3 linked regions of the Astyanax mexicanus genome follow. The main gene of each other region encodes a partner of the protein of the gene in region 2 in a complex. Links are inferred from orthologs where the notes say so. Each region holds a gene or a part of one and is shown on either strand. Other genes may lie near its edges.

The links.
Region 1: the proteins of rev1 (region 2) and pold3 are in contact, whole or in part, in an NMR structure (PDB 2N1G), measured with the Homo sapiens proteins. The link is inferred for Astyanax mexicanus from reciprocal best matches to the Homo sapiens genes REV1 and POLD3. Residues at the interface, in NP_057400.1 of Homo sapiens: Asn1158, Leu1159, Ala1160, Gly1161, Leu1171, Leu1172, Glu1174, Trp1175, Ile1179, Met1183, Glu1184, Glu1185, Asp1186, Gln1189, Val1190; in NP_006582.1 of Homo sapiens: Gly232, Asn233, Met234, Met235, Ser236, Asn237, Phe238, Phe239, Gly240, Ala242, Ala243, Met244.
Region 3: the proteins of rev1 (region 2) and polh are in contact, whole or in part, in an NMR structure (PDB 2LSK), measured with the Homo sapiens proteins. The link is inferred for Astyanax mexicanus from reciprocal best matches to the Homo sapiens genes REV1 and POLH. Residues at the interface, in NP_057400.1 of Homo sapiens: Asn1158, Leu1159, Ala1160, Gly1161, Leu1171, Leu1172, Trp1175, Ile1179, Asp1181, Pro1182, Met1183, Glu1185, Asp1186, Gln1189, Val1190; in NP_006493.1 of Homo sapiens: Thr528, Glu529, Pro530, Phe531, Phe532, Lys533, Lys535, Ser536, Leu539.

Annotation. Positions count from the first base shown.
Region 1 is NC_064424.1:5,730,757-5,740,996, reverse strand, and holds the start of pold3 (DNA polymerase delta subunit 3), read right to left. Parts: upstream 5,192-10,240; 5' UTR 5,116-5,191; coding exon 5,059-5,115; intron 3,363-5,058; coding exon 3,307-3,362; intron 3,219-3,306; coding exon 3,116-3,218; intron 2,188-3,115; coding exon 2,148-2,187; intron 2,022-2,147; coding exon 1,889-2,021; intron 662-1,888; coding exon 418-661; intron 241-417; coding exon 168-240; intron 1-167. UniProt on the Homo sapiens protein: Accessory component of both the DNA polymerase delta complex and the DNA polymerase zeta complex.
Region 2 is NC_064418.1:24,903,223-24,913,525, forward strand, and holds the start of rev1 (DNA repair protein REV1), read right to left. Parts: upstream 4,438-10,303; 5' UTR 4,160-4,437; intron 55-4,159; 5' UTR 45-54; coding exon 1-44. UniProt on the Homo sapiens protein: Deoxycytidyl transferase involved in DNA repair. Transfers a dCMP residue from dCTP to the 3'-end of a DNA primer in a template-dependent reaction.
Region 3 is NC_064414.1:2,689,997-2,700,698, forward strand, and holds the start of polh (DNA polymerase eta), read right to left. Parts: upstream 4,022-10,702; 5' UTR 3,653-4,021; coding exon 3,516-3,652; intron 3,435-3,515; coding exon 3,300-3,434; intron 2,519-3,299; coding exon 2,301-2,518; intron 2,041-2,300; coding exon 1,868-2,040; intron 1,781-1,867; coding exon 1,677-1,780; intron 1,288-1,676; coding exon 1,168-1,287; intron 612-1,167; coding exon 488-611; intron 396-487; coding exon 330-395; intron 228-329; coding exon 55-227; intron 1-54. Other genes in the region: gsta.1 (glutathione S-transferase, alpha tandem duplicate 1), read left to right, coding at 10,085-10,171, 10,274-10,325. UniProt on the Homo sapiens protein: DNA polymerase specifically involved in the DNA repair by translesion synthesis (TLS). Due to low processivity on both damaged and normal DNA, cooperates with the heterotetrameric (REV3L, REV7, POLD2 and POLD3) POLZ complex for complete bypass of DNA lesions.

The sequences.
Region 1 (10,240 bases), on a different chromosome or scaffold from region 2:
TAACACCACACACAATTAATAGAAAATAAAAATTCTGCTTTTCACCAATACAGTTTGATCTGTGTGCTGCAGATTCAGTAATTTACCAAACAAAGCAAACATTTGGAAATATCATTATTCTAATTCAATGACACCATGCACCCTTAGAAATACATTAAATGACTTACTGTCAGCTGATTTCCCAAAGAAGTTGTTCATAGCATTGGCTTTGGAAGATACCTTAGATTTAGGTCCTTCAGTCTGAAAAAAAACGATGATCATTTTTACAAAAACAGCAAAGTCTTCAAATTTCACAGCCAAAAAATAATACTTCACTAACTATGTAAAATTATCTTATGTAAGTGCTTTTTAAATGACAACAAATCATTTCAAATGTTAACTAGGGTATTTTTAATGCCCAAATAAAATCACACTTACTGGAGACGCCTCATCTTTCTGTTCCGTTTTCACTTCTTTGTTGCAGGCCTCACTTTTAGGAGCAGCTTTGCTGGAAAACATTCCCATAATGCCTTTAGGCTGTTTTACACTGGGTTTAGGAGCAGCTGCTGTGTGGTCATTCAGACTTGGTTTAGTAGCTTCTTTTTCCACAACCTTTTCCTGGACTTTCTGCAGCTCTGTGTGGGACAGCGGTACAGCGGCTGCACAGCGGATAGTGCTATACCTGCAAACAGTCAAACAAATTACTGAGAATGCCACCTGCTAACATAACATATAAATAAAACATTTCAAACTATTTTTTTCCATGCTATGTACATATCTGCTCACCAGTGACTTACAAAGATTGTCATTTTAACAGGTTTAACTGCAATCTGCACATGTGCCATTTTTTTGGTTTCTGTGCAAAACATGTTATAAGATACTTTACTGACCCTTTTTCACATTTTCAGCTCAGGGAGGAGTCAACTAAAATCAGGGGGTTTAGTGCACCTTTAGACAACAACGAATAACAAAATCTCAAACTTTCCCACAAATCAGTTCAATTTGTTTCACTTTGGGAAAGAAATAGCTTTTTGACAAAATGCTTAATTTGTGGGGAAAAATTACCACCTACTTCATTAGAATAAATTAAGATAAATTATAATATGTTTATTTCAATATTCCAACATTTGTGAGCAGAATAAGATTTAAACAAAATCATTAACAGGAATTAGAGGTGGATCTTTTAAAAAATGATTTTTCATTTAAAATCAGTGATTCATACAAACCTAAGATTAATCTTTAAAATTAGCCTATTTTTCATGTGCGTAAAAGTCATCTATTTGCAGAGTTCCAAAACATGCTTTAGCGTTAGAGAAGCTCAGCTAATATTAGCAAAAAGATTTAGTTTTCTCTCACTAAATGTTATAAGAGTCTACTAAACTACTAGACAAGATGCGTCTTATTTTTAGTAATTCACATTTAGCTAGCAAACAAGTTACTGACTTTTACATTCCACTTCAAATGCACTGGCAGTTACATTCAGAGTAAGAGAAAATTAATCCAAGCATTGATTAAATTCACTCTTTTCTTACACTGAAGTTCTGTAGAAGTAAATAAGCTGAATGCCTGATTACATTACATGGACACTCTTGTTATGATATGGACACATTGAATAACAAAAACAGAAATGCATCTTGCTTGGGTTAATTCTTCAGGTAAACACTTATAATTTTAATAATGGTAGATTGGTTGTCCCTTATACAATTATAACATTAGTTCTCTGAAAGTCTCTTTCAAATCTGAACAAAAACAATACACTATAACATTCCTAAAATACATTGTACTGAATTAAACCAAATCAAATTGGGACCTTGTGAATTGGAATTGATTGATTGATTCTAACAGGCCCTAAAAGGAATGTTGTCATAATCCCCATAATATGCATGGAAACAGATCTTAAATCCCATACTTGTTGCAGTTTTTCAGGTTCTCTTTCACAGCATCATAGTCTGTACTGTAGAGTGGGCCGCTATCCTTCAGCTCAGCCTTCTGGACACTGTACACATGAACACTAATGGTTTTATCCAGCTTGGACTTCGTATCTAGAACAGATAAGAACATAAGAGAGGAACGGTGTAAAGATCTACTCAAATTTAAATTGAATTGTGTAGGTTGAACATTATACATGTTAATTTTTTTCTCTGAAACATCAGAAAAGATAATCATACCATCAAGCTGATCTTCACGCACCACGGACACCTTATGACACTAAAAGGAATAACAGAAAATATTTCAGGTAATAAAAGAGAAAACATTTAGGTATTCAGAAAAGGTATTTAGGTATTCAGGTGTTCTAGATCACATTATATTGTGGAAGACAAGCCAATGTTGGTCGGTCTCATGTAATTCTAATAACCTCTTATTTTTAAATGCATAAAGGAGGTTAAAATAGGTTTTTAACCTGGGGGTCCTGATACACAATAGAGCGATGCTAATAATCAAGGGAGTTTTCTAGGGATGAACGATGATATTGGAAATATATCAGCATCAGCCGATAATTGCTTTTTTTAAGAATCTTTGGTACCGGCCAATGTGTAGAATTGGTAGATATTTCACAACGAAACTGGCCGACATTTTTATTGTATGTAGAAAAAGGACCAAGTAACACTGGCCTAGCAACTTTAAAATCTAAATAAACTGATTTAAGTTAATTTTGATTTATTTTTATTTGTTTCAATAAATATATGGTTTTATTTAACATGTTCATTTAGAGGGTATAAAGCTGTGAACGGTCTATGTAATATATATAATAAATAAATGTGAGGGGGGAGAAAAAAAAAAATAACATATTTAAGCAGGAGACACCTCAGGTTCAATTCCAGGTCTGGGTGTCTGGATGCTATGCTACACCAATTAAAGACCTTGGGCGAGACTCCTAACACTACACTGGACCACCTCTGTAATAGGACTAATTTTGTAAGTCGCTCTGAATAAGAGAATCAGTTAAATGCAGTAAATGTAAATAATGTGCAGTAACTTTTTGTTCCTGTGAATCAGGATTTTCTGCACTAAAGCATCTTTGAAACACAAATACAGATACTGCAAAACAGTAAAAAAATGATTTGCTAAATCACGTGGAACATCTTTGTTTACAGTAATAAACTCTGCATAAAAGAATCCTGGTCTCCATACTCACCACACTCCCATTCTCACTGCACTTTCCGGATACAAGGTAGGTGGCATGCAGTGTGGTTCCAGACCTCTCCTTGCGTCTCTGGTCTAAGTAGTGATAAAGCATCCTGCAATACATGAAAAAAAAGCTATGTCTGTCGGCCCACCTCAAACAGCCTTTACTAAAAATAAATAATAGTATAGCCATATACTTACTGTTTAGCCGTGTTGACATGGACTCCCAGAGTAAGACTGAGCCATTTATATGTGACCTGTGAATATAAAAGAGGAAAATCCATCAAATATAGCAAAACTATTTTTCACAACACATTTTTTTTTTTTACTTTATTGTTTAAAACTGACCAAGATTTGAAATTAGCTATTTTTAATGAAGCTTGTCCAAAGAGGAGCATTTCAAGTCACTTTCAAAACAAACGTAGCACAATGCCAGAGAAATGTAGGAGATTCCAGCTGACTTAACCGGAATCTCTAGCATTTCTTTATGTTTGAAAGCCCGAAACTGCAGAGATTAAGCTAGAGATTTGTTGCTTTTTGCAAGTACCAGGATGAAAAAGTGTTTCTAAGATTCAAATCTGAATTTGATTAACTGCATTTACATAATGAGCGGCATGCTTTCTTATTTTAATTTCCCATGTTCCATGTTCTGTGTATTATAGCTTGATTTTATATCCAGTTTAAAACGTATGATTTTATGGTGTGGGATTAAAATAAGCACTCTATCAGCCCAAGGTTATGTTAAAGATGTGCTTTATTCCAGCAGGTCAATGCTCGTCCACACACTGCTGCTTACAGAGGTTTTTTCCTACATAGTAAATGAATAGTGAAGTGATCCAGACTATAAAGCAACACATAATTAATTGTGTAGTAACTTAACTAAAACGTGTTAAACTAATCAGGATACTCCCTCTTGTTTATTACTGCTTAAATGTAACGTTACTCTCTTCAAAAATATATGGAAGCTTGGTTATGCTTAATGTATTATTATTTCTGTATTGTTATGGTTATGTCAGGTGCACTTAATGTTCTTAAAAGGACAATAACATTGTTTGTCGCATTAAAACAGCTTTAGAAGCTTATCTAGCCAAGTAGCCAGTAGGGGTGGGCAATATTATATCGTATACAATATATCGTGACAGAAATATCATGATATTAAAAATCCATGTCATGATAATAGGGCTGTTCTGTCTTAAAAGTAGTCTATTATTTACTGTGAAGCTTTAGGTGTATTTATTGTATAATTGTTTTAGTTTGCAGTTTATATGCATGCACTAAATATTCTGCAATATTATTTGATGCATTATATTATTTTATGCTATATTATTTATTTTGCCACATTATGATTATTCTGTTATACTCTTATTCTATATTCCTGAAATTAATAAATTATTTTAGTTTTCCTATATAGCCCAAGTATATCGTTATCGCAAAAATACCCTGAAATATCGTGATATTATTTTAGAGCCATATCGCCCACCCCTAGTAGCCAGCTTGTATAATGGCATTTGGTAAACTTAGATAATCTGGAAACCTTCATGTACTTAGCTTAGCTTGCAAAGACTGGACTTTTCAGCAGGAAAATATGCTAAGCTAACATAGCTAGCTAACTAACTAACTATAGGTAACCTAGGTTACTAACATAGCTTAGCTAAAGCTAGCTAGTCAATCACATTGAATAGTGGGTCCAGTGATAACACCAGCTAATGCAAGCTAAATTAGCTAGGTTAACCGTATTTTTGCAGGAAAATAAAAAAAGCAGTTTTCCGTAGTGTTAAACTAATAAAACACCCACACAACCCACCACCTCCAGCTCTAAACCAATACTGAACACTGATCATGCAGCGTTCCCCAACCCACACCCCAGAGCTCACAGCTATTAAACAGACACAATCAACCAAGCAGCGCCCACTGCCCTCAAACACAGCGCTCTCCTGAACATCAGACACTTACTATCTTATTCTGATCGTTCACATATTCGTCTATGTTGTCTAAATACAGATCGTCCATCGCAGCGATAATCTGAAGCAGCTCCACTCTGCAGCTCCGAAACGCGGGAAACTTTATTTACTTCCTGTCATGTGCGCGCGGACGGGAAGGGGTGCGTTCACTGCCACCCGCGCTTCAGCGAGTTGTTATAAAAACAGACCGTCTCTGATTAACATTTAGGGCCTCAATAATTATAGAGAATTGGTATTAAGTACACTGCTAAACATAAACGTTTTTCTTGCAAAATAATGACTTACTACTATTACTCAAAATAATGAGATCTCAGAATAATTATTTACTATTTTAAATATAATGACTTACAATCTCAAAATATTAAGATTGTATCTCCAAAAAATAATGACTTAAAAATAGTGTCTCAAAATAATGACTTACTATTTCAAAATAATGAGATAGTAGCTCAAAATAATGAGATACAATCTCCAAATAATAATTTACTATTTTAAAAATAATGAATCTCAAAATAATAAGATAGTTTCTCCAAAAAATGACACAGTATCTCAAAATAATGACTATTTTAAAATAATTATATTATCTCAATATACTAAGATAGTATCTCAGAAAAATGAGATATCTCAAAAGAATGACTCAATATTTTAAAATTTAAAAATGAGATATTATCTCAAAATAATGATTTACTATCTCAAAATAATGAGATAGCAGGTTAAGTAAAAGTAAGAAAAAAATGTGCTGGATTTTTTTTTTTTAGGTGGCGGGAATGGGCTTCCATACCAAACACTTACATGTAATTTGAATAAAATATAGTAAAATCTATGAAGTTCATTTGTGCCACTTTTTACACAAAATGAAGCATTTTATTCATTTTTGCTATTTGCTATTGTCTGATCATCACTCTCAGGCATTTTAAGTGGGGATAAAATTAATTCTGAACATAGCAAAAATTTTAAAACCTTCTTATTACATATTTTTAGTGATAAACTTTCCTTCCCTATCCATTATATGTACAACTGACCAACATCCCTTTTCATACAGTGCTGAAAACATAATTTTGAAATCATTCTCCAGTTATAAACCTTTTAAACCTGCCCTCACTGTAACTCAAACTAAAATATATTTAAAGTTTTCTTTGCTTATTTAGTAAAATACATTGTAATACTTTATATAATTAAATGAATATCCTACACATGTGGATAGTAACTATTTTAAGTTTTAGCTCCTTTGACCCCCATTCATTTTGGACTTCTTGTGGCTCACAGTAATATTCTAATATAACAATGGAGAAAATAAAAAAAACAGTCAAGCAGAGAAATAAACATTTATGCCTTAAATATTTTATTTTATAAATCTGTATAATTAAAATTCATTTTTTTTATTTTGACATTTAAATCTGAATTTGATGAACTGAATTTAACCATTGGTGAAGCATTTTGTTCTTATTAAAAATTACATTAGATAGCTTTGAAATAAAACTGAATTAAACTTAGTCTTACATATACAATACTAATGATAATTGGCAATCAATTATATTTGCTTGTATAAACAGTCCTTTGCAATAATGATATATTACTTTAACAACACATTTCTTTATCCTGTATTGTGCAATACCAGCTTTTTGCCCTCAACTGAAAATATAAATATTTATTAGTAATTGATAAAATAATTGTCCTGTAAATTAAATTAAGCCAAAAAAAATAAAGTAGGCTTCACATTGGATCACTTTAATATATGTAGGGAGCAACTTGATTATTAAGAATATTTAACAGTAGATTACAACCTAAAACTACTACAATATAATATATATATAAAACAGTATGAGACTTTGTGAACATCATGAACAAGAAATCTCTGTCTCCTTAATTAACTTAATGAAAGTATTTATTAAACAGTATGAACAAAACAATTAAACAAATATCAGAAATGCTGTAAACCTGCATCATGTTTAATAATGCACAATATCACAACAAGCATTTGCAAATAATCACAAAAGCATCTATCTGAATAAGCTGGGGGTCGACAGTGGCCTGTAGATACAATCCCACACTGGACATCTCAGGCCTGATTAAATAGCAGTACTTCAAAACATGCAGGTTATTGGATTCACATGATGGGCGTCACTTCAGCAGATACACGCTGCTAGGATTTAGTTGATAGCATTCAGAGGAAGTGTGATACGCAGCATCTGGTGAAAAAAACAAAACATGTATTTACATATCTGTGCATTGTCTTATTCATTGCATAGTGCTCAGAAATATTGGTATTGCTTTTGACATTCAGTTCTGTATCCTGTTGTTATGTTGAAAAACCATATATTCCTACCATAAAGATGCGAATCAGATTAATAAATGGTTGCCTATGTAAAAGCTAAGCTATGAGTTGTGCCTTGTAAAGCTATATTTGTAGATGCTCAATTGAAATGTTGTATTGATCTTCTTCTCTCTACATGGATATTTAAGAAATTATGTTTGTGCTGAATTTTATAAAGCATTAGTCAAAGGTTTGGACACAACTCGTCTTATTCAATGTGTTTTCTTTCTTATTATGTTTTTTTTACATTGTAAATGTAATATTGAAAATATTAAAGCTCTACAGGAACACATGCTGAATTATTCTGTAAACAAAAAATGTAGCACATTTATCTTTAAGGACTGATCTGCACACTCTTGGTATTTTAATCTCAGTATCTTCATGAGGGAGAGTCACCTGGAATAGTTTTCTCAGCGTCTTGAAGGAAGGAGTTCCTGGAGGTGTTGTTTTATTTACTGTTTACTACGTAATTCCATTTGTGTCTCTTAATTGTTTTAATGTCTTTAATATTAATCTACAATGTAGAAAATAAATACATAAAAACACTGAATAAGAGGGTGATATGAATTAGAATATTAAAGTTTGATGTTGAACAAGGTCTATCTGAACTTGTATTAAATCTGTATTTAAGACTTTAAATTGAATCCAGGTGCAAATTAATCTAATGTAGAAAATTCAAATAATGCTGCACAACCCGTTTCAAACTTTTGGAGTTTTTAGTTTTAATTCCTCTGCATTGTGCTGCATGTGTTTGTCTCGTTTAAATGTTACATGTTAGAATTCTGTGAAAGTGACTTAAATAAAACTGAATTGAAATCTTTAGATAGATCTAGTCCAAAAACAACAACTTTTTTTTTACTTTTTTTAATAATTTAGATTTACAAACTTTTAATCCTATTGGTACAAAATTATTCCATAGGTATCCTAATGCATGGCATCCCCTTGTTCTGTATTTGAATAAACATTGATGAATATACAGATGTGTTTATATTTATTCTAATAAGAGACACACACTTTATTTTATTGTTTGTGTGCACACAGCATATGTTATGTTGATACCCTGGATTTGTAAAACTCAATAAAATAAAGTTACAAAAAAAACAAAAAATAGTAGTATTGTAAGTACTTATCATAACTAGGGTATATTTTATAACAGAGTGTTTTAACTCACAAAGAGCCCTTTCCACAGCCTAGTGGTCCGAAGTAGAGCTCTGAAGGCAGACATGTTCCTTGTCGGCAGACTCCGTTCAGGCTGGCACAGCTCCACGGGAAGGACGCCGCCTCATTCTCTTTACCTTCAAAAATAAAATGCAGTACTGTTTTGGTTCTGTACAGCTAAGACACAGCTTGAATTCATAATAATCATAATAGTAATTGTATTTATTTTTACATACAAAAAAAGATACTGTTTAACCATGCTAGAATAATTTGAATAAGCTGAAGATTAACCATATTCATCTTATCAATGACTTTATTACTGCAGTTCTTCACTTGTCAGACCTCTAATTCTTCTCTTCACTGCTAAAACTCAGTTCAATCATGTTAATCTGAGCTAAAGGATAAAGCTGTTTCCATGTGGGTCAGCCAGACGTCTTCCTGTAGCAGTTTTCTCCAGTTTACAAGAGTGTTTAGAAGGTGTAGGAAACAGTACTCACCGCTCTCTGGCTTCATCTGTAATTTCTCTAAAAAAAGACTTTTACTTTTAATAGTTACAAAGTTCTCTGTGTTTCTGTGTCTTTTTTGTGCTGTGTGCAAGTGTGTAAATGCTGCAGTAGAGACTAAGACTTATTAAATTTTGTTTCTATTGCTACCAGCCAACTGTAAGCTGTTAAACAATTACTTGTTTCCTAAAAAGCCACTTTCCTCTATTCTTGTTTTTTTTTTTTACAGTACACAAATTTTCCTGTTTTAAGTTATTTTTCCTCAAACACCCAGGCGTTTTACTGCTAACTTTTTAATGCTATTTAAGTTTACTACAATATTCAGGATATTCACTGGATCTGAAGAACTTTTGACCTGTAGTGTACTGGTATATGGACATGTCTATATGAGATAACATTGCATTGCATTGGTCAGTGTGTATTACTTGAAGCACTGACGAAATCCACAGTATACTTGTAAAGAAATGCGTTTATCATTATACAATAAAAGACACAATAAAATATTACCGTATTGCGCAGCTTCACCTACAAAACATAGTAAAAACATGATATACTCACAGTACAGAGCCAGGACAACCAGCAGGACCAGAACCAGTGCGCACTGAGGCTTCATGCTTGCTGTTGGTGTAGAAATCCTCTGAGGACCGTGACCATAACTGCAGTCAGACAGTTTTATTCTCAACGTATTTCAGCGGGAGGAGAGACTCTAGTGAGGTCACTCCATTTTGGACTATAAGTTGAAAATTGGATTATGTTGCTGCATGAATAGCAATACTGTTCCTAATCACATTTGGTGAGTGGTTATTCATGGCAGGGCAGGTCACGCAATGTGTGCTGCAGCCAATTACCACAGTGGAGAGAAAATAATGTTTTCACCTGATCTCGCACACATGCTTGTCCTGATGGGGACAATTTCCCTCTAAACATTTTCTGAATCCCAAAATGCAAAGGCCTTTCAGGGGAATGTGATATTAAGACCACTGCAGGGCCAAATGAATACTAAGTACCGATCTGTGCTGAAGCGAATAAAGTTTCTAGTTAGTCTGGTTACCGTTTTCTGTTTTTATTTGTGCTGTTGCTTAACCAGGTCCAGGAAATGCATGGAACAGAGCATACCAGCTAACTAGCTAAATGCTAAATTGAGAACTGTGTGTTTTTATACAGCTACCAGCCTCATCCTACATTACTACCAGAAGTCAAAG
Region 2 (10,303 bases):
CCATCATCTTCACTAGCTTTCTTCCTCCATCCATCTCGACTCATGCTGAGGAACCTGAGAAAGAAGAAAAGATGCCAGATTTAGGCTGGTACCCTGAAGCTGTATGGTACCACAATTACACCAATGTGTTTTCCCCTCATTAAATATGTGTGTCCTGACATTATCGTATCAATCTATGCATCTGTTCAACTACACCTACTAAAAATACTTTTATGCAAAAGTAATATGTTTAAATGAAATAAGATACAACTATGATTTCGTACATTTTCATTATGTGGCGGTATAATTGATAATTTATGTTCCAGATGTAGGTAAATGTAACCTTGGAACTTTTTTGTTTGGATGATACACTGTCCCAGAAGTAACTAAGGAAAATAATATTATTGTAATTTTAATGTCACTTATATAATGCAAACATAATAGCCTAATAAAGCAACTGCACACTTTTTAATTTTGAAATATCCAATAAATAAAGCATACATAAAATAAAAACAATGTTTTTTCACAAAGGCCCCATACAAAGGCACAAAATATAAATGGGGTCTTGTCTATAAACTGTACAATAACATAATGATCATGGCAGAACATTAACACAATGCTGCCACCTAAGCTTAGATTATTTAGGGTAAGCAACATATTACAATCAGAAATATATCCTAGTCATCAATTTCTGGAAACATTAGGCAACAAATGAAGAGTCAGTTCTTGAGTGTGATGTGTAAAAAGCAGAAAAACTGCTAAGGGTGAGATCTGTTGTGGTGGTACAAGGGATTTTTAGACAATATGAAGCAGGTGGTGCTAATGTTATGACTGATCTGTGTATACTGGCAGAACTAAATCCTAGTTTAGAAATAAGACAGACAGACAGACAGGCAGGCAGGCAGGCAGGCAGGCAAGCTATCAGACAGAAAAATGCCTCTCTAATTCTACTGTAGACTCTTATCTTCTTCCCTCGATGGTATGGAATGCTCCATCCAAAAATGCAGGGGAGTTTAACACCTCTGCTGGCAGCTTATTAACAGCACACTGATGCTGAATGAGCTTTGTTAGAAGGGAACCACCCCCTTTCTCTTGCATGTCACTGTTCAGCCTGCTCTGTTATGCTGCGAGTGTCCTCACTGCCACATGTCGCACAGATACAGAACCAGACAGCCACACAGAAACACACATCATCTCTCTCTCCACAGGGATCCATATCGACTGAATCTCCATGCCTCCGACTCACACAGACATGGTGCAGACGCTACTGTTCTCATCAGTCAAATACTCTCCTCAGTAAAGTCAAACATCCCTCCCAGGGTCTGTCTCTTTCCTCGCACACTTGCTGCGTTTGAGTGGGAGGTTAAACACTGAGGCTGGGAGCACTCAGTGAACTGCTGGGTTTCACAGTTTCCTCACCAGAGCAGATTTAAGCAAGATATCAAGGTTTTGATACCAGCAACAACAATAAACAAAATTTTATCTGTACCCAAAATGCTGCCTCTGTGATGGTTTAGGTATGCACTGGGCACCATGCTAAATAGTGAGATAGAGACTTGAATGTTTATGTAGCGGATTGGGTTTTATGGCTCCACTTTTAATGAAGCCAAATATGTACAGTATATCCTTATCAAACTACTCTACTAGCCCTAAATAGCATCTGTGAAATCTAATGAACAGAGTGAAAGAGAAAATCGAGAAGCAGACCCCTGGACTACAGCAAAGGGCCTGAGATCAGATCAATTCTGTTTACAGCAGCCATCAAGCCCATTTTGCCAATATAGCTGCACACCTCATTGAACGTAACACCCCAACAACCACCACATTGCACTGCACAAAGCACTGTTCAGTCCCACTACACATCCCTGACTCTCTCTACATAACCCCAACTGCTGCATCTGACTTTACTGAAATTACATTTAAAACATAAGTAAGAAAATTCGGCAGGCTCTTTGTTAATTGAAAAAATAACTACAGTTCAATCGTATAAAACATATAAACAAATAGCTAATGTGAAAGAAACATCCCAAATCATCTGATACATTAAGATCACAACATTAAAAACGTAAAAAAAAAAAAATAGTAACAAAATCTATTGGACTCAAGAGGAGAAAGTATTTAAATGTCTAGACGGTACCAATTACAACTGCATTCTGAATCCAGAAGATGTTCATGTCAGTGATAAATGATCCTAACCTCATTTCAATCTCCATTAAAACACTGCCTCAGCCTCAAAGTGGCTTAGCAAACTTAATTCCTTTGTCAGCAGCCACAGTATCAACACGTCTGCCTACCGTCCAGACCACACATCTTGTTGTGCCATGAATAAAATGATGCCTAATCACAAGTTCTGGGCAAAATTATGTCAAATGAATTTTACAACCAACAAACATTTTCACTGATTATTTTACACACAAATAATGAATGGATATTTTCATGTATTTCATGCACCATTGCATTTTTCTTAGCTTTTTTTTTTTCTTTGCTTAGCTGTTTAGGGTGTATTAGCATTAACAGACATTTTAGCAATAATTACTAACAAAATGTATTAAAATAAGTAATATAAAAACCATACATGGAAAATTATTACATTTCTTAGAGGATCTAAATGTCGGTTCTCAATTAATTCCCTAGCCAGGCACTCTGGAATCTTATTTTTTAATCTTGGGTTTTGTGATCCTGGCAGTGTACTAAGCTGTTAGTGACTGGCCGCCTAGTGTTATACCCACCATTGATTAAAAAATAATTATAATTCAGGTATGTAAATTTCATTTAAGATACCAAATAAAGACCTCTTTTAGGAAACTATAAATTAACACAAGCCAAATATCAACAATATCTTAGTTGGACCTGGAGTAATACAAAATAACATTTGGACATGAACTGGACAATAACAAACATATTTACTTCACTGACATTTCAACACACATTATTTTACAACCTATGTTTCTGACTGACGTTCTTTGAATGATGAAATTACCTGAGCTGGCATATTTATTTTTCCGAATATTTTAGATGTTTGTATGTGCAGACCTCCATTGCAGTCATTCTTGCCAGTTTTCTTCTTTCATATATTTTACCCTACTTTTTGAGAGCTTATACTCCCGCACACAAACAAACAAATTAGCTATGATAATAAGCAATAAAGGGTTAAAAAATAAGTAAATATAATTTTTTTTCCAACTAGGAGAGATACAAAAATGTAATATCATGAATTGTTGACATTTTATTGTACACAATCATTCTATTTTTATAAATGCAAATAATGCAAACTAAGAACCATTAAAAACCTAATTTAATAACCACATCTGCATTAATGCAGTACTCATGTAACTATTTAAATCGGCCTGTTGATCCTCGTTGCCCAGCTCGGCTGCACTGACTGCTTTACTGAAAGCAGCACATGCTTAAGGGGTCACCAGGGTCGCAGGTGTACCAGCAGTCTGTCCAAGTTCCCGAACATAAACAAACTGTCACACGCGGACCATAATTCAGCTCTACGTTTCATTGTCCAGCCCACCCGGACACACACACACACACACACACACATAAATATATATATATATAAATAATGTCAGTCACACTGGTTTAATGCCTGACTCGAGCTGCACCAGGACAAGCTTGGGCATGCCAACTACTGACCTGCAGGACTGAGTAAGGTTACTACTACCGGGCGGACTGACGATGGCGGTCATATTTAAACACATGTCCAGAGCGAAGGGTGACACTGGATAATATATATAGAGAGAGCTGGGTTAGCGGACAGACAGTGCTGTGTGTAGTTGTTAGCTCACATAGCCAGCTAACGTTAGCTAAATCAGACAGGGGCCGTTTAGGTTATGTTGGGTTAGCTAGGTTAGATTAGCGAGTTAATTGTTCTCTAAATGAGCTGGAGCGGGCTGGTGCTGTGGTATTCAGATTAAACCGAGTTAATCTCCAGTCAGACAGCGCTGTAAACACACAGCACACTTTCACACACCAGACCAGAGAACAGAAAGACTGGAGGAAAAGGCAGCTGAAGTCAACGACACATAACCGTTACATAACAACACAGCTACGACACAGACAAACACAAACAAACCGCAGCGGCTCTTATCCAGGTGTGTGTTTGGACTGTGGGCTGTCTCTCTGTTCGTGTCAGGGGCTCTGAATCATCTGAAAAGCGAATACTGCTGCTCACCTATTCTCCCCTTTTCTACCGGATAATCGACTCCGAAGCAGCGCGCCGCTGTTTCCCAGGCTCCGCCGAGGCGTCCACTTTAACCGTTCAACAGTGTTTTAACCCAGTATTAACGGAACAGCCGCGCAGACACGGGTCTTTGGATATCGAGAGCATGTTTTCGGGGCTTCAGAAGATTCCCTCTCCCCTCATAATCTCCGCTTTCCATCGCCAGGCGCCGTTCAGCGCTCTCTGTAGCCCCTCTCCTTCCTCCGGCTCCTCCTCTCGTTGTTTCCATTGAAGCTCCGCCTCCTGCGCGCCAGGTCAGACTCTCCGGGCCTGCGCTGCCCTCACAGCGCCACCTGCCGGCCCGTGGCCCACATTACTGTTGTCGCAGTGGCTAAACTGAATATTTACAAAAAAACCTTTCAGATTTCAGATTAAATAAATAAATTAAAAAATTAAACAGCATAAAAAGATTTAAAATTCAGATCTAATCACAATAAGACATAACAGAGTTATATAGAGACTTATATGCCTAACGTTAATGTTGATCTGCCCTAGAGTGACTGTCAAAGCAAAGCACAAACACTGTGCTGCCCCCCGGTGTTATCACCGTGCATGTACAGCTGGAAGTCCCAACAGGCTGTCAGTCTGATACAGCTTAATTTTTTACCTTAGATGTAAGGCTTTATAATAAAGTCAAAAGTGCAAATAAACAAAAAGTATAACATCTACCAATGCAATTATATATTTTTCCAAATTTACACAACAAAACTTTTCATTTTGCACAAAAGTTTCAAAACAGAAATTAGATGTTTAATTGTGTAAACCTTGTTATTCCAAATTGTTTTGGAATGATCTTTAAAGTTATTGTTTAAATAAAGCAGACTACAGGGTATATATATACTGTAAAGGTGTAGTTATTGGTTTTTACTGTAATGTCTGTACTGTTTTATTTTCTCACTTGATGAGTGTCTCATACATGTCCTAGTAATAAACAACTCTGGACGTGGTTAACATAAGGCCTCTGTTTTGTACAGTAAAGTTTTAATTAACTCTGTATTGTAGTGATGGAAAAAGTTGGCCAAAATAGTTCCTTTGGCCATGTGGTTCTATCAGCTATCATAGGTGTTTAGCTTAGGCTTATGTCACATTCTCTCATTTTCTTTGAACAGCTTAATGATAATATGCACTTTAGAGGAAGAAATACGCAAATCCCTTTCAGTCTTCATGAAACATTGTTTTAAGATATTTAAATACATTTGTGATGCATTTATTACAAAGTGGAGATACTCTGCCCATCTTTCCTTCTCAAAGAGCTATTCATGGATACTGCTTTTGTACCAAATTCAGATTATAATCATCTGTTGACATCACATGTTTAAAATCACATCACACATGTTTCTTACCTCAGAACTAACTCTAAATTTGTCTACTTTCATGTGGTTTGATAAACACTGATCTTAATTAGATCCCACTGCATCCTCTGTGTGTTTTACATCCTGTTGGTGTGTTGGTTCACTGATGGCTGATAGTGGAGATTCTGGGATGTTAGCAGGAGCTATATATCCCTAGAGGGTTGCAGCTGGATGTTGATGATTCTTTGGGCACTGTTAATAGTTTGTTGCTGGATGTGTTTCTTCACAGTTTGTGGGTGGTTGATAAATTTGACTGAAAAAAAAAATCTCAAAATTAAGTCATGGAAATCACTGGGTTATATTGTACCAACCCTTATCTTTCCAAATCTATATATGGTCTTATAATTTTTTTCTTGAAATTTACAGTCTTTACACTCTTTACAGTCTTAGTAAAAATGGGTATAATATGATAATGTACGTTAATTTATCCTGATTCTTTATCATTACTATATAAAAGTATAGCATTGCTTACATGCAAATATGTTACCTTTTGCATTTTTTTTTTATTATCTACACACATAGGAAGACGTTTCATCGAAATCTTTCAATATACTTGAAATTATTTTGGGAATACCTTATTATAAAAGTGCCAAAATTCTTGTAACCTTTGCTGGCACTATTCCTCATATGTCACATAAAAAAGTTTATGATAAATAACCAAAATCCTTAATTTCTTTAAAATCCTGAATGTCACACCCTATGACAGGGGTGTCCAAACTTTGTAAACTCTGTAATAAAACAAATAATAAAATATACCACTTTAAATAATACTTTTTTCCTGATTATTTCATTTACAGACCATTTTACTTGACTTACTATCTTTATCTTTGACAATGTTGAGAAAATTAATATTTTTCAAATTGATGTTTAATTTCATGATGTCTCTTAATATTTAACTCCTTAATGATGGCAACTTTTAGACTCTTTGTCCCGTTTTTCTGCGCTAGAAATGTGCATCCTCTCCGCTTTTTGACTCTTTGGCCCGATTTTCTGCTAGAAATGCACACCCTCTCCGCTTTTAGACTCTTTTGCCCCGTTTTTCTGCGCTAGAAATGCGCACTCTCTCCGCTTTTAGACTATTTGGCCCGTTTTTCTGCGCTAGAAATGTGCACTCTCTCCGCTTTTAGACTCTTTGGCCCGTTCCTGACACCTAGCATTCAAACTTTGAATCTCACATTATAAAAACCTGCTTAATAGCGGGCCAACTTTCATTCTATTTCTAAAATACCTCGCGGGCCGCTCCAAAAAAAGAAAACGGGCCGCAAATGGCTGTGGATGTATTGCTAAAATCAGTGTGCCACTAAACATTGTGACACATTTGGCTTCTACTTAAAGAAACAAACAGAAGAACCATAGGTTTATGATACAGTGGACTGCAATTGGGTAAGATTAAACTTTTTCTTTTGCATTCAGAAGTCTGAGTAAGTCAGTGAATCTGCATGAATGAGTGAGTGTTGCTGTTTAAATATTACATTTGTGAATAATATACTATAAAAATGTGTTAAACTAATAAAATATTTAAAACACTTAACTATTAGCTATAACATATGTATCTAATAGCATTATTTATGTATTTAAATTCAGTTTATATCTTATAGTGTGACAAAATTGTTATATGGTGTGATAAGAAAACCCTGTCACACCGTATGATGTGTTAAATCATATGACGTTTCATGTACTTAGCATGAGTTTAAGCAATGTGTCTTTATGCTAGCATCATAAAACCATGCTAACTACAATAATGACAATATAGTTTTAAAGGTAATATTGACTGAAAAGTAATTTATTTGGCATTTTTGTGTAAAATGTGTCACAACATATGACAGTGCAAAATGGAACTGAAGCAGGAGTGCTAGATATACTTGATTTTTCTGAAAACATAAAGAGCGATAACACATCCTGTAACTTTAGTGTCCTTCTGAGGTGTTGTTCTTCATCCTGAGAGAAGGAGAACCCCCACTCTCTTAAGGTGTCCAAACAATAGCCCGTTTAAAAAAAGGAGTATGGCATCACCATATGACTTTTATTTTTGGGACAAAATGTTTTTGCTAATGGGGGCTCTAAAATATTATGCCCAAACTTTTAGCAAAGCAGACTCATAAGTAGACATCTGGTTTATTATGTGAGCGTTTTCTGGTTTGCACAGCACTTTCTGAACAATATTATCACAGTTTTTGACATATTCTTCTATAATTTACATATATTTGACACACTGAATGAAAATAAGGCCATGTCATGTCAACCACCCGTGAACATCTGGTACACTAACCTGATGCTCCAAACCCTGCAGCAGTAGAAAGTGATAAACAGGTCTTTCCTAGAGTTTATTTTCTTGAGTAACCTCTACAAACACAATTTTAGGCTGTTTTAAGAAATTCTCCTACGGGAGCATCCCCCCCAGATTTCAACATATACATCTATAAGGGCACTCGTAGTAGTAAAAGCACTGATGATGTGGATAGGCTGGATTAGGACTGACCTCTGTACCAGTGGAAGCACAATGAGATGAGTTTAATTTGGAATAAACTGTACAAGAACACAGTGCAATGAAATTACTTTCCTCCAGCACCATGGTTCAACATGAGCCAAGCTCAGTTCCATTTCTGTGTGTTGAGGAGTCAGACCGCCTGGTGGAAGAAGCTGTTGCAGAATCTGGTAGTGGAGGCTCGGATGCTCTGTTATTTTCTGCCAGACAGCATCAGAATGAAGAGAGTGTGAGGGATAGGTGTGGTCATCCACAATGCTGGTGGCTTTGCTAATGCAGCAGGTGGTGTCGATTATTTTTATCTTGGAATGAACTATGGCAGTATTTTGGAGTCTCTTGCAGTGAGACATGGCATATGCAGTATACAGACAGTATACAGTATACATATGCAGTATTGTCTTCTCATTCCTACTCGTCAGTCCTTGCCACACATTATTTTTTTTAACATGCTTTCACTAGATTTTTTGCTGTCCAGAGGCGAGTATATTGAACTGTAGCCTGCTATTAACACCGGCTAGCACTATTGGAGCAGCATTAGCATTAGCCACTAACCACGCCAAGCACTAGATCTTTGCTGTTCAGAGGCAAGTATATCGGCCTGTAGCCTGCTGATAACCCCGGCTAGCACTAGCTCTTTCACCGGTCAGAGGTCAGTTTTATCGGCCTGTAGCCTGCTGATAACCCCGGCTAGCATTACTGGAGCAGCATTAGCATTAGCCGCTAACCACGCTAAGCACTAGATTTTTTGCTGTTCAGGGGCGAGTATATTGACCTGTAGCCTGCTATTAATCCTAGCTAGCACTACTGAAGCAGTATTAGCGTTAGCTGGGTCCTTTGCTGTTTAGAGGCGAGTATATTGAACTGTAACCTGCTGCTAACCCCTGCTAGCACTGCTGGAGCAGCATTAGCATTAGCCGTTAACCATACTATGCATTAGATCTTTTGTAGTTCAAAGGCAAGTATATTGGCCTGTAGCCTGTTGATAACCCTGGTGAGCACTACTAGAGCAGCATTAACATTACCTGCTAACCACGCTAAGCACTAGATTTTTTGCTGTTCAGAGGCAAGTATATTGACCTGTAGCCTGCTGATAACCCCGGCTAGCACTGCTAGAGCAACATTAGCATTAGCCATTAACCACGCTAAGCACTAGATCCTTTGCTGTTCAGAGGCCGGTATATCAGACTGTAGTCTGCTGCTAACCCCTGCTAGCACTGCTGAAGCAGCATTAGCATTAGCCACTAACCATACTAAGCACTAGGTCTTTTACAGTTCAAAGGCGAGTACAACGGCCTGTAGCCTGTTGATAACCCTCGCGAGCACTGCTGGAGCAGTGTTAGCATTGTTTGCTAACCGTGCTAAGCACTACACCTTTTGCTGTTCAGAGGGGAGCATATCGGCCTAAAGCCTGCTAATAACCCCGTCTAGCACTGGTGGAGCAGCATTAGCATTACTTGCTAACTGTGCTAAGCACTACATCTTTTGCTGTTCAGAGGGGAGTATATCAGCCTAAAACCTGCTAATAACCCCGGCTAGCACTGCTGGAGCAGCATTAGCATTGTTTGCTCACTGTGCTAAGCACAAGATCTTTTGCTGTTCAGAGGCGAGTATATCGGTCTGTAGCCTGCTGCTGACCCCGGTTAGCACTGCTGGAGCAGCATTAGCATTAGCTGCTAACCACGCTAAACACTAGATCTTTTTCTGTTCAGAGGCGAGTATATCAGCCTGTAGACTGCTGCTAACCCTGACTAGCACTGCTGGAGCAGCATTAGCATTAGCTGCTAACCACGCTAAGCACTAGATGTTTTGCTGTTCAGAGGCAAGTATATCAGACTGTACCCTGCACGTTTACCGTGTTAAAACAAACTATGTGGAATGAACTGCTAGCTAATATTGCTTACCGGAACACTCATGGTTCCTCAGTGTAGCACTGTCAGGTGGCATTTAGTAGCGCTAACCGTGGCATTTTTTTAAAGGAGAGAAATGTGTGTAGATTAACATTCAGTGCTCCTTTGAATTTAAAAGATTTTTTTTTTAAGAAGTACAGTTTTGTTTACTAAGCTTAGCTTTACCACATCCCTCCCCTGCACCTTATAATCCGATTCGCCTTATAGTGCGAAAAATATGGTGGTTGTTAGGGTAAAAAAATAGGTAAAGCACTAAACACAAACAAATGTAATCTTATGGAAATAACAGGTGAAAACTTTATAGATTCCAGTAATAAATATTTTAATGCAAGCAGATTTTTTATGAGGTCAT
Region 3 (10,702 bases), on a different chromosome or scaffold from region 2:
TATAAGTGTAATTGTAGGTAAGTAAATATTGCAAACAAATGTAAAAATACTCACCATGCCTCCTGATGGCTGCCAGCAGTGTTAAGGCTCTTAATAATAGCTAAGCTATCAGCAGTAATTTTTGAAGCTTCATAGCGGGCTAGAGCACAGCATCGGGAGAAGCTACTCAGTCTTTTATCTCCAGCCTGACGGACACCCACAGTCAGCAACTTGGCCACTCGACCGTTCTACAGAGTTAAGAAAAGAATAAAAAGGCTTCTGTAAAGAGGGAGATGTTGGAGAAACACTAAATGCAGTAAAACTGCTTTAAACTGAAAATGTTCCCTTACCATTTCTCGATCCTTATTCAATCTCTCCTCCAGCTCCAAGGCAAGCTGGTGCAGCCAGTGCTGGACCTTCTCAGGAAGAAAAAGAAAGGGATTAAAAGTACATGTAACAGTTATGCATAGTGTATACATACTAAAAAAAGCATTAGGTAAAACATTACCTGTTTTTTCGTAGCTAGAGCAGTCTTTCCTGCAAAGTTCTTGCTACAGCCGATGGATTTAGGAAGCTGTCTGGGCTTCACTGGCTCAAACTCAATTCCTCTGCACAAATCGTACAACCACTGCCTGAAGAAAGATAAAGCATTTGAGGCTTGCGATCCGATACTTTGGCAATACGTTACTAAATATTCATACAAATGATTCCCCTTTAAATATGCATCTTTTCTTAAATAAACAGACTAAAAACAACAATGCACAACAACAATTCTGTAACTTATCATAGTTAAGATCATGGTTAATTTTGTTTAATGCTAGTATTTCTCTGTGTTTGGGAGAGATACAATAATAGTGTAGTGTGGTTTATTAGGCCTGGCAGATTAGATTTAGACTAGACGTTTTAGGATAAACTAACCTCTATAAATATATTTCCAATTTTATTGAATAAAATATTTTAAGCTAAAGAATAGCATGCTTTGTATTACAGACTATAATTATAAATGATTTACTGAAACAGATCTGCTGTTTGTACTGTAAAGTTTTCCCAGATATTAACAAAAACATTATTTCAATATGTGACAATTAACCAATTAACCAATAAACTTTTGTTTTATTTCACAAAGGAAAATACAAAAGTGCACAAGGTTGTCCGATCCGACATCAAACTAACTGTTCCAGTTCTTACCCTGTCTTTTCTCCAAAGTGCTCCTCCAGCTGGACACGTGTGAACTGAGTAAGATCTCCCATGTTCTCCACTCCTAATGTCTCTGTGATGGAAACACCAAGCTTTCCTCCCAGGTTGCGGCTGAAAGACAAAAGACAAAAAAAAAAAAAAAAAAGCTCCTTCACACACTGTGATGTGAGCACAATTGTCCAGTTAACCCTGAAAAACCTAATCTTTTATATTATTTTTATTTTATTTCCTCCATTAATGCTTTTATTTAAAAACTTGAAAAGATGCATTTTAAAGGAAAATCTCTGAGGCCTTTTTATGGCCACTTAATACTTGTGTATTTTGTTCAAGTTATTTCAATAATAATAAAGTGGTCTCTTAATTTTTTTCTCCCCGAGCTGTTCTAGAATTGTGCTGGCTATTTTCCTAAAACCCTATGAACAAATATGTATGTATATATATATATATATATAAAAATAAGAAAAAAAACATCCACCCAGTCAATTTGTGAAATGTCTTACATTTTACTGATAGGCAGCGTCCCGAAGAGTTCAGGTACTGATCCTAAAGGCAGGACGGTCTGGCGATTGGGCTTGTTGAGACCACATGCAAGTTTTGCCAAAACCTGCAAACACAGATTTAATTTAAAGCTACAGGTGAATAGAACTTATACTAGTAATACCTGGATTTTTAACTAAAAAAGAACAGTCACCTTGTTATGAGAAATGCCTGCAGAGCAGCGAAATCCAGTGTGTTTCTCCACTGCCGCCCTCATTTCCTCCACAATCAGCGCCCCCACAGCCAAACACAGCTCAGCACAGTCCGTCTGAGAACAGGGCGGCAGCGAGTCCAGCCACTGGTGCAGACCCCGAGACCTCTGCTCCTCTGTGTTTACAGGCAAAAGAAGTATAAATAAAATCATGCCTAAAGAAGGTATGCTGGCATTGTAATAATAATAAGTCTTTTTTTTTTTTTTAAGAAAAATCACATCTATATCTAATTTATACCAAAATCTGTGTCAAAGAAAATCAGTACTGTGCCATCTCTTCTTTTAGCTTAAAAATTATCGTCATTTAAACTGCATTCCTACATTATTAGTATTCAGTATTCTTTCTAAAATGATATGAGATGATCTTGTTGACTACCTTTATCCCCAGTTTCTGGAAGCTCCTCTGTGCTATGAGGAAATCCTTGTACATATGTGGCCTTCAGAAGGTGGGGTTCAATCCGTTCCGTCGCCAGATCCTTCAATCTTTTCTGTACGCTGCTAGTAAGATCCATGTAGGCTTCGTCAATACTGGCTCTCTCAATCACTGCAAAACGGGACATGACCTCAATCACCTCCACGCTGGCTTCCCTATAACTGATTGCAAAGACACACTAGGTCACTAAACACTGTGGTGCAAAAATATAAATAAAATTCCATACAGAAATTACTTATAAAATGTCTGTGGATATAATGAATATATCATGAAAAAGGATGCACAAGGTATAATTAGAACTATAATGAAGTAACTTTTCATATTTGATATTGTAGTTTTGTTAGATGTACTAGTATATACCCAACACGATGGACTACATATACAGTATATATACACACAGCACCATGGACTACTTATACAGTATATACACACAGCACCATGGACTACTTATACAGTATATACACACAGCACCATGGACTACTTATACAGTATATACACACAGCACCATGGACTACATATACATTATATACACACACAGCACCATGGACTACATATACAGTATACACACACACAACACCATGGACTACACAGTATATACAGCACCATGGACTACATATACATTATATACCCAGCACCATGGACTACATATACAGTATATACACAGCACCATGGACTACATATACAGTATATATACACAGCACCATGGACTACATATACAGTATATATACACAGCACCATGGACTACATATACATTATATACCCAGCACCATGGATTACATATACAGTATATACACAGCACCATGGACTACATATACAGTATATACAGCACCATGGACTACATATACATTATATACCCAGCACCATGGACTACATATACAGTATATACACAGCATCGTGGACTATACAGTAAATAACGTTACAGCTCCACAGGGGAGAACTTACTTCGTCAGATCAGCTTTGCCATGAGACTCTCTCACTCTGGCGACTCGAAGGTCTGGACACAGTTTTTTCGCGTCGTCTGCGAACATGTTCCTGGTGACCCCGTGAGCCCGAGCTTCATAACTCACAGCTATAATACTAAAACCACAAAAATATAACATTAGTGAATGAAGATCCAGGAGATAGAAGAGAAGACAGCGAAGAGAAGACCCCCCTCACCCTCCTCCTTTCCAGGTCTTGTACTGAGCCACCACGCAGGGCTTGTTCCTCAGCTCTGGGTTCATCCTCTGCTCCACCTGCACGTAGAAACAGTCCATATCCACCAGCGCGACCACCCTCTCCTTACCCGTCTCCATCACCGAGAGCAGAGGGCCAGTCCAAACACTAACTAAAATAAGATAAGCTAAGATAAACTAAACCTGAACTAAGCTAAGCTAAGCTAACCCAAGCGAACAGACAGTAGTCCAGCTCACAAGCCTACAACTAGGTTAGCTTAGCTTAGTTAGCTACCTGAACTTAACTTTACTCCTCACAGGAAAAGCGCGGGAAAACATCAAAGCGTCCCGACATCCTGAGATTAGACTTTATGATTTCATAATCAGAAGTAAAATAAGTAATTTATGACGACAAAATTCTGCTGCAGGAAGAAATTTCCCGCGACAACAAACTCTGCCACAGATTCTCCACAGAGGAGAATACCCACTTAACCACCTCTTCCAGCTTTATTCCACCACTAGAGGGCGCTCCAAAACGCGAGTCCAAAATGAATAGGCTCATATGGAGCAATTGAGCAAAATCAGAGTTTATAAATGTTTAATCATTGTCAAACTGGATAAATGTCCAAAGATATAATTAAATATTTGCTTTATTATTATTTTTATTATCGATCGTTGACTGGAATTATTGGAAACTGTCAACACTTCTGAAACTAGCCTTTAAAACCCACCGAAATAAATAAATCTAAAAAATATCTAAAATACATAAATGTGCTTCAATACCCTTTCGTGTTTTCATGTATGCTGTATTATAGGAATTACACATGTAATGTCCACAGCATTTCAGTGTAAACAAATGTAAGCCTATTAGTTTCTGATCATCTAAGTGTAGTTTGTTAGTGGAATGGTAACATTTGAATAATCGTAAACCAACAGGGTTTTACATACAGGAATTAAGCCTAGTCTTGGACTTCATAGCATTCTGAATGGGGATTTTACATTAAAAGGAACTTTTACTTTACGACAAGACTTAATTCTTCTCTGTGCAGGAAACTCACACACAGTGTTTTAACCAGAACTGGTTCATTGAGAGTTCACGCACTTTATATTTGCCCTGTTAAACGCTAGAGGGAGCCCGCGAGCGAGTCCTCAATGAATGGAAGTGAAATGAGCTAAACGGATAAAAACTCAAATTAAATATATTAACTATCCACTTGTCACGGCGATTCCTTTAATTTTACAAAGTAAATTGAAGTATTTTGCTAAAAGAATAAAGAAAACTAACCTGTATATGTCTATTTTTGTACAACAAATGGGTTTTAGGCATTAAAGACGCGTCGCTGCCTCTATTTCACGTTTAACACAACCCGCTTACGTCACTTTGACTGGCCGAGACAGCAGCCCCTCCTTTGCCCGCCCACCAAGGCGGTCCTTAACTCGTCGGATCAACCAATGTCGCACCACAGATATGCATATCTGCAGAGCCTACCGGGAAAATACTGAACCTGTCGTATTTATACTGTATTTAAGCTTATATATCACCATCTTATAACACACAAAAACTACCACCACTCACAGAAACACGCGTTTATTGTTTTTCTCTAAAAAAAAAAAAACTAAATCAAATGTGCTCTACACCCTGAATGATAATCCACAGATCCTGCCCGGGTATATAAACAAAGAACGGACACTCTCTTAACTGGATGTGAGGGCGATCTGGCTGCGACATCTGTCACCCCATTGATCGCTAGGGTTGATTCGGCTGATCTGGCTGGCTAGGCGGGTGTCCCCTTCCTCCCTCACCGCTCCATGTGTGTCCCTCCCGAAGCTCCGCGCTCGGTGGAAGAGGACAGGCTCCCCGGCGGACATCGTTGGTATACGAGTAGCTGAGTACTCCCCTGCTAGAACCTCCAAACAAGCTCAAGGCCCATTTGTAGGAGAAACGTAGGGAAGTCAAGCTCCAAGACTTCAGACACATCCAAATGTGGCACTGCACGTGGCAGTCTGCCTTCTTTTTTCAGAAATTCAAAACTACAAAATAACCCAGCATAGCATGTAGTGTTAATGAAATCATTATTTTTGTAATCCTTAACAAGCTACATATAAAACGATACAACATGTAAGTTACAGCCTAAAGACAAAATTAAACCAAAAATTTATATTCTAAAATCGAAGAGTGACTGTGTAATTATGTCTTTTCTTTACAGTAAATTCAACGTTCACATATACCATAATATTCACAATATCAGACGACAACGCCAACAGCTGTCAATCACTACATCACAACTTTAGATTTTACAAAATAACTCATATAAAACGCTGGTGAGGCTTAACACTTTATCTGATTCTAAAAGTATTTTTGAGTTTAATTTGAAAATATAAGGCAGAATGCTGAGTGCAGTGCCATTAATGGATTAATTGAATAACCCAACATAATTAAAATCCCATCTATCGTATGAATGCACATATGAATATAAAATTAATGTATTAATACACTTATTAATATGCCATCCCATATGTCTGTCTTTGTTAAAGAGCAAAATACAAAGTATTTCAGCATGAAAGCACGTATTTTTATTAACCTATGTGTGATTACTATGCGTTTATGGTCTGTGCTCCATTTGTTGTGTTAGAGCGCCCTCCAGTGATGAGAGAGTTGCAAGAAAAAGTATGTTAACTCTTTGGGATTATGCTTGGATTTCAGCATAAACTGGTCTTTAAATGTGTTCTGATCTTCATCTGAGTCACAAGAATAGACAAACACAGTCTGCTTAAACTAAATCTAATAATCTGTTATTTCTAATAACATATATTTATCTGTTCAAAACATTCTCAAACTTAGAGGCAGCTTTATTTATTTTTTTTACAAGTTTCTAATCTAAAGATGGTTACAAAACTCATGTGAGATTTAAAAAGCATGTTTAAAAGCAAGTCCACTAAATAATTAGCTTTTTTCAAGAAAGCTTTATTTAAAATAAATGGTGCTTGTTCCAATAATTGATATTTATGACAGAAAAATCATATATGCATGCACATTGTATTTTTCTAAAAGAGGTGTTGCTAGATAGTTGCTACGGCATTGCTATGGTATCCATGGTGGATGCTAATCTGTTGTTAAGTAGTTGCTAAGGTGTTGCTATGGTATCTGTTATGGTTGCTTGGTGGTTGCTAGGTAGTTGTTAAGGCGTTGCTATGGTGTCTGTGGTGGTGGTGGTTGTGCTAAGGTGTTGCAAAGCGGTTGCTATGCGGTTGGCAAAGTGTTTTTATGCTATCCAAATATACTAACGCTATATTTAAATATTATATACATAGATGTCCGTGGCAGCAGCGCACAGGGGAGCGGAGCGGAGGGAGGAACCATTCATTTTTCTTTTTATTATTTAGGCTTTTATTTTAGCTGTTTTTGAGGTGTTGTAGTTTTGTGTTGATTTATACAACTATACAGTGTATTTTTTCTCCTCCTCTGGGGGGCTGTGGAGCAGGAGCAGTGCTTCTCTCCTTCAGCTCCTCCAGCACCACCCTTTTCCTCACCACAAGAAGAGGAAACATGGCTCTCTCCCTCTCTATCTGCTCCTCCATCTCCTTCTCCCACTCTTTAACCTTCTGCTCCATCTCTATAATCTCCTGCTCCCGCTTCTCAAACTGCCGCTCCTGCTCCTTACACCGCCTCTCCCGCACTGTCAGCTCTTTGTGGCGGTCGATGAAGCCCTGCCTCTTCGGCTCGAGCTCCTGAGACAGTTCCTGAACCCTCCATTCCCGGTACTCAATATCCTGCTCGCGCCAGTCAGCACGCTGCTCGCGCATCGCAGTCCTGTACTCCGTCGCCTTAAACTTGATCTCTTGATACTTTAAAATCTCCATCTTCTCAGAGATCTCCTCCTCATACTTCCTCAGAGCCTTCATCCGCATCCACCGCTCCCATATCCTCCTAAACGGGTTTCCCCTCGACCTGCGACTTCGTATCTTCTTCTGTTTCGCCATTAGTAACTAAAGCAGTAATGAAAGGAGTGAAGTAATGAAAGCAAAGCAGTAAAGTGGCCAGTGATGACGTAACGCTCCGCCGCTTTTATAGTCTGTTTTTTGATGACGTCATCGACGAGAGCGCCGCCACCTAGGGGGAACAGGTATCTAGATAACGTCACAGACGGCTCGTGGAACGGTAGCTTGGTGACGTCACAGGCGGCTCATGGTACGGTGGCTGGGTGGCGTCATACACAGCACAGCTCATAGAAGGCTAGCGTTTTATATACGATTTATTTTGTAAAATATAAAGTAGTGTGGAGATGTAGGGATTGACAGCTGTGGGCTGTGTCGTCTGATATTGTATACCGTATATATGAATTATAAATGAGTTAATTTTCTTAATCTTTACTGTAATTTACTGTAAAGAAACATAATTATACAGTCACTTTTAGACTTGAGAGTATAAATATAGGTTTTTAAGTGTGTGTCTGGTTTAATGTTGTCTTTAGTCTGTAACTTACATGCTGTAAGTTTAATATGTATCTGTAGCTTCGGTTAGTGGAGGATTAGTAAAATAATAATTTTACTATGGCAAAAAACTGTTCTTGAAATTTTAGATACATTGTACATTGTAGCTAAAGATTTAACACTACATGCTGTTAGGATGCTATTCTGTTAATGTTAATGCTAATGATGCTAATGTTCTATTTTCAGCTGAGTTATTTTGTAATATTGTAATTTGATGAAAAAATGAAAAAGGAATGCAGACTGCCACGTGCAGCACCACATTTGAATGCGCTTTATATTTTCAAATGAACCTAAAATACTTTTAGAATCAGATAAAATGTTAAGCCCCACCAACGTTGTATATATGAGTTATTTTGTAAAATATAAAGTAGTGTGGAGATGTAGTGATTGACAGCTGTGGGCTGTGTTGTCTGATATTGTGAATGGAATGGTATATGTGAACGTTGAATTTACTGTAAAGAAAAGACATAATTACACAGTCACTCTTAGATTATCGTTTTCTATTTCAGGATTTTCAGCTTTTTTGTAATATTGTGATGAAAAAAGGAAGGCAGACTGCCACGTGCAGTGCCACATTTGGATGTGACTGAAGTCTTGGAGCTTGACTTCCCTACGTTTCTCCTACAAATGGGCCTTGAGCTTGTTTGGAGGTTCTAGCAGGGGAGTACTCAGCTACTCGTATACCAACGATGTCCGCCGGGGAGCCTGTCCTCTTCCACCGAGCGCGGAGCTTCGGGAGGGACACACATGGAGCGGTGAGGGAGGAAGGGGACACCCGCCTAGCCAGCCAGATCAGCCGAATCAACCCTAGCGATCAATGGGGTAACAGATGTCGCAGCCAGATCGCCCTCACACCCAGCAGAAAAAGTGTCCATTCATTGGTAATATACCCGGGCAGGATCTGTGGATTATCATTCAGGGTGTAGACTACATTTGATTTAGTTTCTTTAAGAGAAACACAATTAACGCGTGTTTCTGTGAGCGGGGGCAGGTTTTGTGTGTTATAAGATGGTGATATTATAGTTTAAACATACTATAAATAGGACAGGTTTAGTGTTTTCCCAATAGGCTCTGCGGTTATACATATCTGTGGTGCGACATTGGTTGATTCGCCGCGTTAAGGACCGCCTTAACCGCGGGCGAGGGAGGGGCTACTGGTGTTACTATACATTATTTATTATTATACATGCTCTTATACTACATAACTACATAATCTAGACTCCAACATTAAAAATACAATTTCTGCAATTAAAGACAGACAACAGGATTATTAATTTTTTTTATTGCTGGAACATAATTCAGGCCGGGAAGAGTATAAAAAGTATAAATTTAAAAGTTATTTAAGGGTAAAAAATAGCATTAAGGGCAAACAAATATGTAATAATTTAGGCTGCATCACATGATCCTATGATGCACTAAAAGCCATAAAGACTATAATATTATATAATAAAATGTTAATATTTAAATAGCTCTATAAAAAGTGAGCTGTGTTGGTGCATTTGTACTAATTTTAATCAGGGGTCAATGGGTTTAGATTAGCACTGAGAGAGGAGTTGAGGATCCTGCACAGATTATATTCCATTCCCTTGAAGACTCTCTGAGTACAATAGAGTATTATTACAGTTATTTATTAGATGCAGATAAAATAAAAAGTACAGAGGTGAACATGCACAGTGCACAGCAGGAGTTTCCTACAATTGAGCACAGAAATAACTGGCTAAGCTATAATAACTAAGCTTCTGTTCAGTAAATTAAACAGTTCAAGGTTGTAAAGATTATCAATTAACTTTTTCAGACAGTATCATTCAGAATATCCCGGCCTGAACCCTGTAAATGATTATTCTTATCATTTTATACGAGTCAATAAATGTGAATCAAATCACACGCACTGTTTACCGTCCTGTCATTGGCTAAATTGCTATGCATATTCATTAGCGTCGCTTCTGATTGGCCGAGCGCAGTTTCGGTGTTTATGTAAAGTTCTGGCAGTTGTCAGGTGCTCTGCTGTCTCTCGGCTGAAGCTGCAGAGGATCCCGCTGATCATTTTTCTCCTCGGATTGAGCTGCTTCTGTTTCTGAAACCATGTCTGGAAAAGTGGTGCTGCATTATTTCATCGGGCGGGGGAAAATGGAGTCGATCCGCTGGCTGCTGACTGTGGCTGGAGTTGAGGTCTGTAAAAAGCTGCACTGGGTTTCTGAGCTGCTGTATATAAATAAATAAATCTAGATTATGTTAATTTTAACATTATAACATCTGTTATCACATTCACAGTTCGAAGAGAAGTTTTTTTCAACTAAAGAGGAGTTCCAAAAGCTGGTGGAAAGTAAGTGCAAGTCCTATAATCTAATATAATCAGAGTTTATGCTTTTATTAAGATGAAACTCCTGAAGCTCCTGCAGGCTTCAGCTCCACCCTTACACAAAGATCCCATGAATATCCCATGAACGTGTCTTATTACTACACAGCTGTTTTCACACCCATGCCCACATCTGCACACGTCCGGCACGTTTTAATCTCACGTTCATGTGTTTTTCTTATTTCACGACTTAATGATTTATTGTATTGTTGCATGTAAATCTTGTATAAAATTATTATGCCACATTATTTTGTTGGGGCGTAGCTCTAAAAATCAACTCAAGAGCAAAAGTCAAAAGTATTATACAGCTCTGGAAAAAAATAAGAGAGCACTTAAAAAGTATG